Linked DNA regions of Drosophila melanogaster. The protein of the gene in region 1 binds, or shares a complex with, the protein of each later gene. Each region holds a gene or a part of one and is shown in the gene's direction. Other genes may lie near its edges. The genes, in order: Nfs1 and bcn92.

Region 1 (3,948 bases):
ATTATTTTATTATATCAGCTTCTGTAAAAATATATACATTATACGCTAGTGTACCATTAAGTGTTTGGTTCAGCAAAGATTCCGTGGAGGCGGTTTGAATGGCAAGGCACCTGGTAGAAATTGATCCGCCTTGAATGCTTCGATTTCCTGCTCGTTGAGATCCTCCATGCGACTGTAAACTGAGGACTGGATTTCGTTGGTCGGTTGAGCTTGCTGCTGCTGCTGCTGCTGCATCATTTGCTGTTGCTGTTGCATTTGAAATTGTTGTTGCTGCTGCATTTGTTGCTATTGCATCTGCTGCTGCTGATGCATTTGTTGCTGTTGCATCTGTTGCTGCTGCTGCATCTGTTGCTGCTGCTGCATCTGTTGTTGATTAGGGAATGCAGATGCTGCTGCTTGAGCAAATAATCCGGAGGCAGCTGCCTGCTGCTGCTGTTGTAGTTGCTGAGAAGCCTGAGTAAACATTCCGCCCATATTTTGGCTTGCGGCTTGGCCAAAGATTCCCGTCGACTGCGGTTGCTGCTGCTGCTGTTGGAAACCACCGAAAGGATTAGGATTCACTGGCTGAGCTTGCACCTGAACCTGCGCCTGGGCGAAAATGTTGCCCCCTTGGAAAGCTTGTGCAGCAGGCTGCAGCTGTTGCTGCTGTGGCTGTCCAAAGACACTTTGTGCACCTGTTGCCGCAGCTCCTACACCAAAAATGCTATTCCTTGCATTGGCATTGCTAATCGTTCCGCCGAAAATGCTATTGGTGTTGCTGGCTTGGCTTGTGGCATTCCCAAATATATTTCCCGCACTCAGCGTGGGCTTTCCAAAAATGGATGCAGATGTATTGGCGGCAGCCGGAGCTGCTGCAGCGAAGGGATTACTGGACTGCTGAGGGGCAGCCGACACAGTGCCGCCCTCCGGCGTCTCGTGGATCTTGATCATCATTTCCAGGACCTGCGGCGACATCTGAAGCATGGTCTTCATCTTGTTGTTAGCCTCTAGGACCTCACGGTTAAACTGTTGGCTGAACTGTTCGAATTGGTTTTGTCGTTTGGCCTCGTAACACATGAACCGCACCTCCTCGAAGGATTGGTCCTGAATAAAGTTGGGGAAATTCGCTTTGTCCTTAAAGGGTCCGTAGGCGGACAAAGGCCACATCTTGCCATTGAGGCTGGATTCCATGTCGGCTTTGAGATATTGCCTAAAATAATTAAGTTATTAGTTCATCTGCATAGTTTTAATATCAATGTACTCACTTAACATCGAAATGCTCGTTGTTGCACTTTGCGCCATAGCGGCAGGAGCCTTGTTGAAAGAACCGGCAGACAACCATATTTAAATTTGATTTTAATTTTTGCCTATTTCCTATATTTATTATTTCAAAACTGCTTCAACTTTTGTACTTTTGTTTATAATTGTCTTACTTTGCGTATTGAGTATTCTTTGAGTATTTTATGGCTCACTGAGAAAAATATACCGTGCCTATGCGCGCAATTTCGTGAATTCGTAACTTAAGTTCGCTGAATGATTAAGATAATTTTGTAAGCAAACATATTTAAGATGAAAACTGGTTTTTGAAAATATAGTTCCTTGTAAATTATACATTAAGTGCGAATATATCTGAAAAATATTGGTTTCTTGCACAGATGCTATTCATTTTTCATATGTTCAAAGAAATTCAGAAACTTGCTTCTGCATAATCGAATCAGATAATTTTAAAGTGAATTCCGGAGTCCTTTGGTATATCTCGTGCCGCCGAATACGGTCCCACTGATTGTGAAATCCGTGATAACGAATTTTAACACCAGAATTTCTAGGATTCCATCAGAATGCAAAAAGTGCTGGGACGCATCCAGGCGCAGGTCCTCCGCTCCCGGGCGACGAATGCATTAGCCAATGTGGTTAGACACGAGGCCACCTCCTCCAGGACAGCGGCTAAACCAGCCGCCACATCCAAAGGTAAGCGGATCCTCCAAGATGCACAGTTACCGCTTACCAAAATCGTATTCGTTCGTAGAATTCCGGGAGAGACAGGTGCGATTCAACATAAAGAACGAACAGACCGAGGGTAGACCACTTTACCTGGATGCCCAGGCCACCACTCCAATGGACCCACGTGTATTGGACGCTATGCTCCCCTATCTGACCAATTTCTACGGAAATCCCCACTCCCGTACCCACGCCTACGGTTGGGAAACAGAGTCCGCTGTAGAAAAGGCCCGCGAGCAGGTGGCCACCCTGATTGGCGCCGATCCCAAGGAGATCATCTTCACATCCGGCGCCACCGAGTCGAATAATATCGCAGTAAAGGGTGTTGCCCGTTTCTACGGCACTAAGAAGCGACACGTGATCACCACCCAGACGGAGCACAAGTGCGTGCTGGACTCTTGTCGTGCTTTAGAGAACGAGGGCTTTAAAGTCACGTACCTGCCAGTGCTGGCCAACGGACTCATCGACCTCCAGCAACTGGAGGAAACCATCACATCGGAGACCTCGCTGGTGTCCATTATGACGGTGAATAACGAAATCGGCGTACGGCAACCCGTCGATGAGATTGGCAAACTGTGCCGGTCTCGCCGAGTATTCTTTCACACGGATGCCGCTCAGGCGGTGGGAAAGGTCCCGCTGGACGTTAACGCCATGAACATTGACCTGATGTCTATATCCGGCCACAAAATCTACGGCCCAAAGGGTGTAGGCGCCCTGTATGTCCGACGAAGGCCGAGGGTTCGCCTCGAGCCCATCCAAAGTGGCGGCGGCCAGGAGCGTGGCCTAAGGAGCGGAACGGTTCCAGCCCCGCTCGCCGTGGGATTGGGAGCTGCTGCGGAACTTTCTTTGCGTGAGATGGACTACGACAAGAAATGGGTGGACTTTCTATCCAATCGCCTGCTGGACAGGATTTCAAGTGCCTTGCCGCATGTCATCAGGAATGGTGATGCCAAAGCCACATACAATGGTTGCCTGAATTTGTCGTTTGCCTATGTCGAGGGCGAGTCACTACTGATGGCTCTTAAGGACGTGGCCCTGAGCAGTGGGTCCGCCTGCACCTCCGCCTCCCTGGAGCCCTCCTATGTTCTGCGTGCCATCGGCACCGACGAGGATCTTGCCCACAGCTCCATACGCTTTGGCATCGGGCGCTTTACCACCGTCGAGGAGGTGGACTACACCGCCGATAAGTGCATCAAGCATGTGGAGCGACTGCGCGAGATGTCGCCGCTGTGGGAGATGGTCCAAGAGGGCATCGACCTAAAGACCATCCAATGGTCGCAGCATTAATGTACTAATATTTAAGCCGTTACTGTTACACCACACTTTGAAAGCGAAGGGAAAATAAATTTGTTGGAAGAGTATCTAGGTTTATTTGTACACAAAACCACTTATAACTAAGCTTAGTCCGAACGAATGTGCTTGTGTAAGAGGTGAGGCAAGAGAGACCCCAAAAAGCGAAAACGGCTCAAAGTGCGACGGCCAATGATATGCAAATGATGCAATAATTTGCATTCGCCGCTGGTCAAGGTTCAGTTGGCCTTCTTCTGGGGTGAGCCGCTGGATCCACCGCCCAGGATCTTACGGCGCTGGGCGAACATGTGCAAGTACAACTGCGGGAAGATGGGGATGTAGCCGAGCATGACGATCCACAGGAATCCAAAATACGAGAAGGTGGCGTTCCACTTGTTGGGCATCACCACACTCCACACGCTGTTCTCACGGGCATAGCTCTGGGCCCACCAGAAGCACAGCAGCTCCCCAGTCACGCCGATGGGATACAGGACAATGAATGTGGTGTAGCGCAGGAACACCACAAAATGCGGCACCACCTTGACGATGTTCAGAGCGTAATATCCATATCGGATGATCTCAGTGATGGCCCAGGCCAGCAGGGCGATGGGCAGACCGGGTGAAACCTTTCCAGTAGGCGTGGCCATCACCACGCCGACGACCACCATCATGCGGCTGAAC
Region 2 (3,621 bases), on another chromosome or scaffold:
GATGATCTGTGACCTATGCTAATTGCCGGGCGGTTTTGACAGTTGTGCAACGAGCCGGCCACCACATGGAGCACACGCTAAAGGGAAGTTATGCGGCCATCCTGGTGGGAAATCTGATAGCGGACAACGAGTTGTACGAGTCGGTGGTGCGCCGCCAGCTGCGAGGAAATAGCTTTAAGGAGATTATTGGAGTGCTGGAGAAGTACCACACATTCATGAACCTTACATCCAGCGTGAGTCTCATAATATGTCATACATTTTCAGTTCAGATCGATAGCTTAATCCATCTTACCCTTAATCCATCAAACTGCACAACCTTCTAACTCGTTAACGTTCTCCACCATTTGTATAGTTGGAGGCAGCCTTTGTGGCGCATATGAAGTCCACGAAGCGCATCATCGACAACTTTAAGAAGCGCGACTACATCTACGAGCACTCGGATGAGCACGACAACCCCCTGCCTCTGAATCTGGAAACGACGGCGCAAGTCTTGGCCGTGGGAGCGGACGCGTCGCATGCTGCTACAAGCTCGACCACGGTCGGCTCTGGCTCCGCACCCTCATCCACATCGGCCACAGGAACGACGAGGGCGCCGCGGGTCTATAAAACGTACAGCAGCCACAGGTAATCGGACCTGGGATCTGAATCGGAATCGAAGAGCCATCGCAATTGTCGTTAACCACACCGAAAGCCTGCCACCAAAATAAAATTCTGTTGTTTGTGATTATGTAATTTGTTTATGTGTTGATATAACAATCACTACATGTATGTGTATAGCCTGTAATGCACCTAGTTTCAGTCAGCTATATATATATAGATATATATATATATAGAAGTATATAGCTAAGAGCGATAGGATACAATGCGATCTGTTTTTGCGTTTGTATTAACCCAAAGTGATAGCGAATTCCTGAGCATGGTCTGCGTTTTAACTAAAGAAAATGATTAAGATTGACGAAACGAAAGCGACACCCCGAACAACACAAAGATCCAAATCCCCACTAATATGAGTACGTTATATAGTCATAAGCAATATTAGCAGCTAAATGTCGGCTTACCCTCGAAAGCACACACCCATGTAAATATTCTTTAATCAGCGATTTTATCGGACGCGTCTTAGGTTTATTTCGAATGTGTTTTTTTTTTACCTATTCATACTTTATATATTAAACCTTTTTTTTATTGATTGTAAAACAAGCGCTCTTAGCAAAAACGCTGCAGCAGAAAGAGCGAGAGCGATAGACATGTGTAAAGAGAGAGTTAGAGAGGAAAATTCTAGATTAGATGTGGGAAATAAAGTTATTTTATTGCCTAAACGTAAGCTAAAGAAACTCTACTTATAAAACTAACACTGATAAATAAATATATATATGTATATGGATATATGTGTACGTTTACAACCACTAAAAATGTCATTTTTAGGCTACAAAAGTCAGATTTAAAAAGCAAGCGCGCGTGCAAGAAAGAAACAATTTCGGGAACAAAATATATATATTTATTTTGTGTTTTCAACGAGTACATAATATATTGTTCTTGCGGAAAAAACAAACAGAATTAAAACTAAAATTGAAAAAATGCGGCAGTTGTCTTATTTTGTATAATGGGAGCAGGTTAATTTGGTTTTTATTTTAATATTTACCTCTAAATATTTCGGATTCTTAATAAATTATTTTTCTGCACTATGAACTCAATTTATTTCTTACTTTTTGCAATAATATTTAGTATCACAAAAATAGTTTTTTTATTCAGTTGCGATGATTTCCGCACGACGCAGTGTCATCTCTAAGACTCACGCACGTGACACCACAGTGAATGCAGTCAGCTGTTTCTGGTATTTTGCAGCGGAAAAGTCAGTATTTTCCGGCTTTCCGCATGTAATTTTTATGTCATCAGGCGGTCAATTGGCAGTTGCCGCACCGAAACAAGAAACCAGGGTCAAAACAAAGCACTCATCAATTAAACAGCACTTTAATCCACCAGCCCGCCCGCCATTCAGTTCCATTCGGCCAGGATCAAGACCAGGATGTCGACCCGTCGCCAGGCGATCACGTTATACAGGAATCTCCTGCGCGAATCGGAGAAGCTGCCCTCGTACAACTTCAGGTAGGTGTTGTGAAATTGAAAGGCCGCCGCGAGTGATGAGCAATCTATTCCGGATTTCAGAATGTACGCTGCCCGAAAAATACGCGACACATTCCGCGCCAACAGGAGCACCAGGGACTTCGCGGAGATCGATCGCCAAATGGCCGAGGGCCAACAGAATCTGGAGCTGATACGTCGCCAGGTGAGTGGTTCGTCGGATTTCACCCCTCTCCCTTATCAGCAATGCTTGAAAGTATCCAGATAACGTAAGGCATTCCGTCTTCGAGATCACAGCGCATCCAAAAAGAGCCGTCGTTTATTTACCAAGTTGTTAGGAACTCAAATAATTAGTGGTATAAAAATACTACTATCAACTACTACTTCCCTTATCAAAGACAATCAATTTAAAGATTAAAAATATTAATGTATATTTAAAGTAGATTTTATCATATATATCTGATTTTGCAAATATGGGGAATGGAAAACTCAATTACCATCCTATTAGAAATCGAAAGTAACCATTTTGCCCCTTTTTCGCTTATCAGCCGGTTGAGTTTATTAACCTTTGAATGTCCACAGGTAATCATCGGCCACCTGTATTCCGCTGACAAACTGGTTATAGAGAACAAGAAGACCCTGAAGCCCTCGGACGACTAAGGGAAATACGGAGCGAAAAACGCGCTAGCTGAAGAGAGTACAATAGCAGGGAAGGAGCGGTAGAAGGAGCAGGAGGCGTCTCCAGATGAAGACACAACTCGAAAGACTCGACCCACACACAACACAACACACCAAACCACACGCATTGTTGATTTTAAATGGCACTTGCATTCATGAAACTAAGGAATCAAAATCATTTGCTAGCAAAAAAACACCAATTTAATGTTATGTTTAACAACAATTATGAAATTCTATATACATACATATATATTAATGGTATAAATAAGTACTAAAGTACTCCAGAAAAAAAAGAAACATCTAAGACACCGGCGCCAATGACATGGAATGTGTGAACGGGAAAGTGGAGCAGGTGGAACCTACGCCTGGTAGGTGCTGGCGGACACATTGCCGCCGGTGCCTGTCCAGTTCGTGTGGTGGAACTGACCCTCCTGGCCCAGCAGCTCATAGGTGTGGGCGCCGAAGTAATCCCTCTGGGCCTGCAGCAAGTTGGCTGGCAGCTTGGCCGTGCGGTAGCCGTCGTAGAAGCTTAGGGCGGTAGACAGGGCCGGCACGGGAATGCCCCAGCGGAAGGCATTGGCCACCACCTCGCGCCACGAGTCCTGGCCGCGCTCGATGGCCTTCTTGAAGAAGTCGTCCAGCAGCAGATTAGACAGCTCCGGCTGCGACGTATACGCGTCCTTAATGTTGCCCAGAAAGACGCTGCGGATGATGCAGCCGCCGCGCCACATCAGCGCAATGCCGCCGTAATTAAGTCTCCACTTGTTCTCCCTGGCCGCCTCTCGCATGAGCATGAATCCCTGGGCGTAGGACACGATCTTGGCGCAGTAGAGAGCGTGCTTGATGTCGTCGAGGAACTTGGTG

The links.
Region 2: Nfs1 (region 1) and bcn92 share a complex: the UniProt entries of both Drosophila melanogaster proteins name them as parts of the mitochondrial core iron-sulfur cluster (ISC) assembly complex.

The regions. Positions count from the first base shown.
Region 1 is NT_033779.5:11,997,908-12,001,855, forward strand, and holds Nfs1 (Nfs1 cysteine desulfurase), read left to right. Parts: upstream 1-1,746; 5' UTR 1,747-1,817; coding exon 1,818-1,947; intron 1,948-2,005; coding exon 2,006-3,264; 3' UTR 3,265-3,337; downstream 3,338-3,948. Other genes in the region: Hacd1 (3-hydroxyacyl-CoA dehydratase 1), read right to left, coding at 3,507-3,948. UniProt on the Drosophila melanogaster protein: Catalyzes the removal of elemental sulfur from cysteine to produce alanine. It supplies the inorganic sulfur for iron-sulfur (Fe-S) clusters.
Region 2 is NC_004354.4:2,147,884-2,151,504, reverse strand, and holds bcn92 (bcn92), read left to right. Parts: upstream 1-1,857; 5' UTR 1,858-2,023; coding exon 2,024-2,103; intron 2,104-2,163; coding exon 2,164-2,284; intron 2,285-2,661; coding exon 2,662-2,739; 3' UTR 2,740-3,042; downstream 3,043-3,621. Other genes in the region: wapl (wings apart-like), read left to right, coding at 43-233, 353-628; Pgd (phosphogluconate dehydrogenase), read right to left, coding at 3,117-3,621. UniProt on the Drosophila melanogaster protein: Stabilizing factor of the core iron-sulfur cluster (ISC) assembly complex that regulates the stability and cysteine desulfurase activity of Nfs1 and participates in the [2Fe-2S] clusters assembly on the scaffolding protein IscU.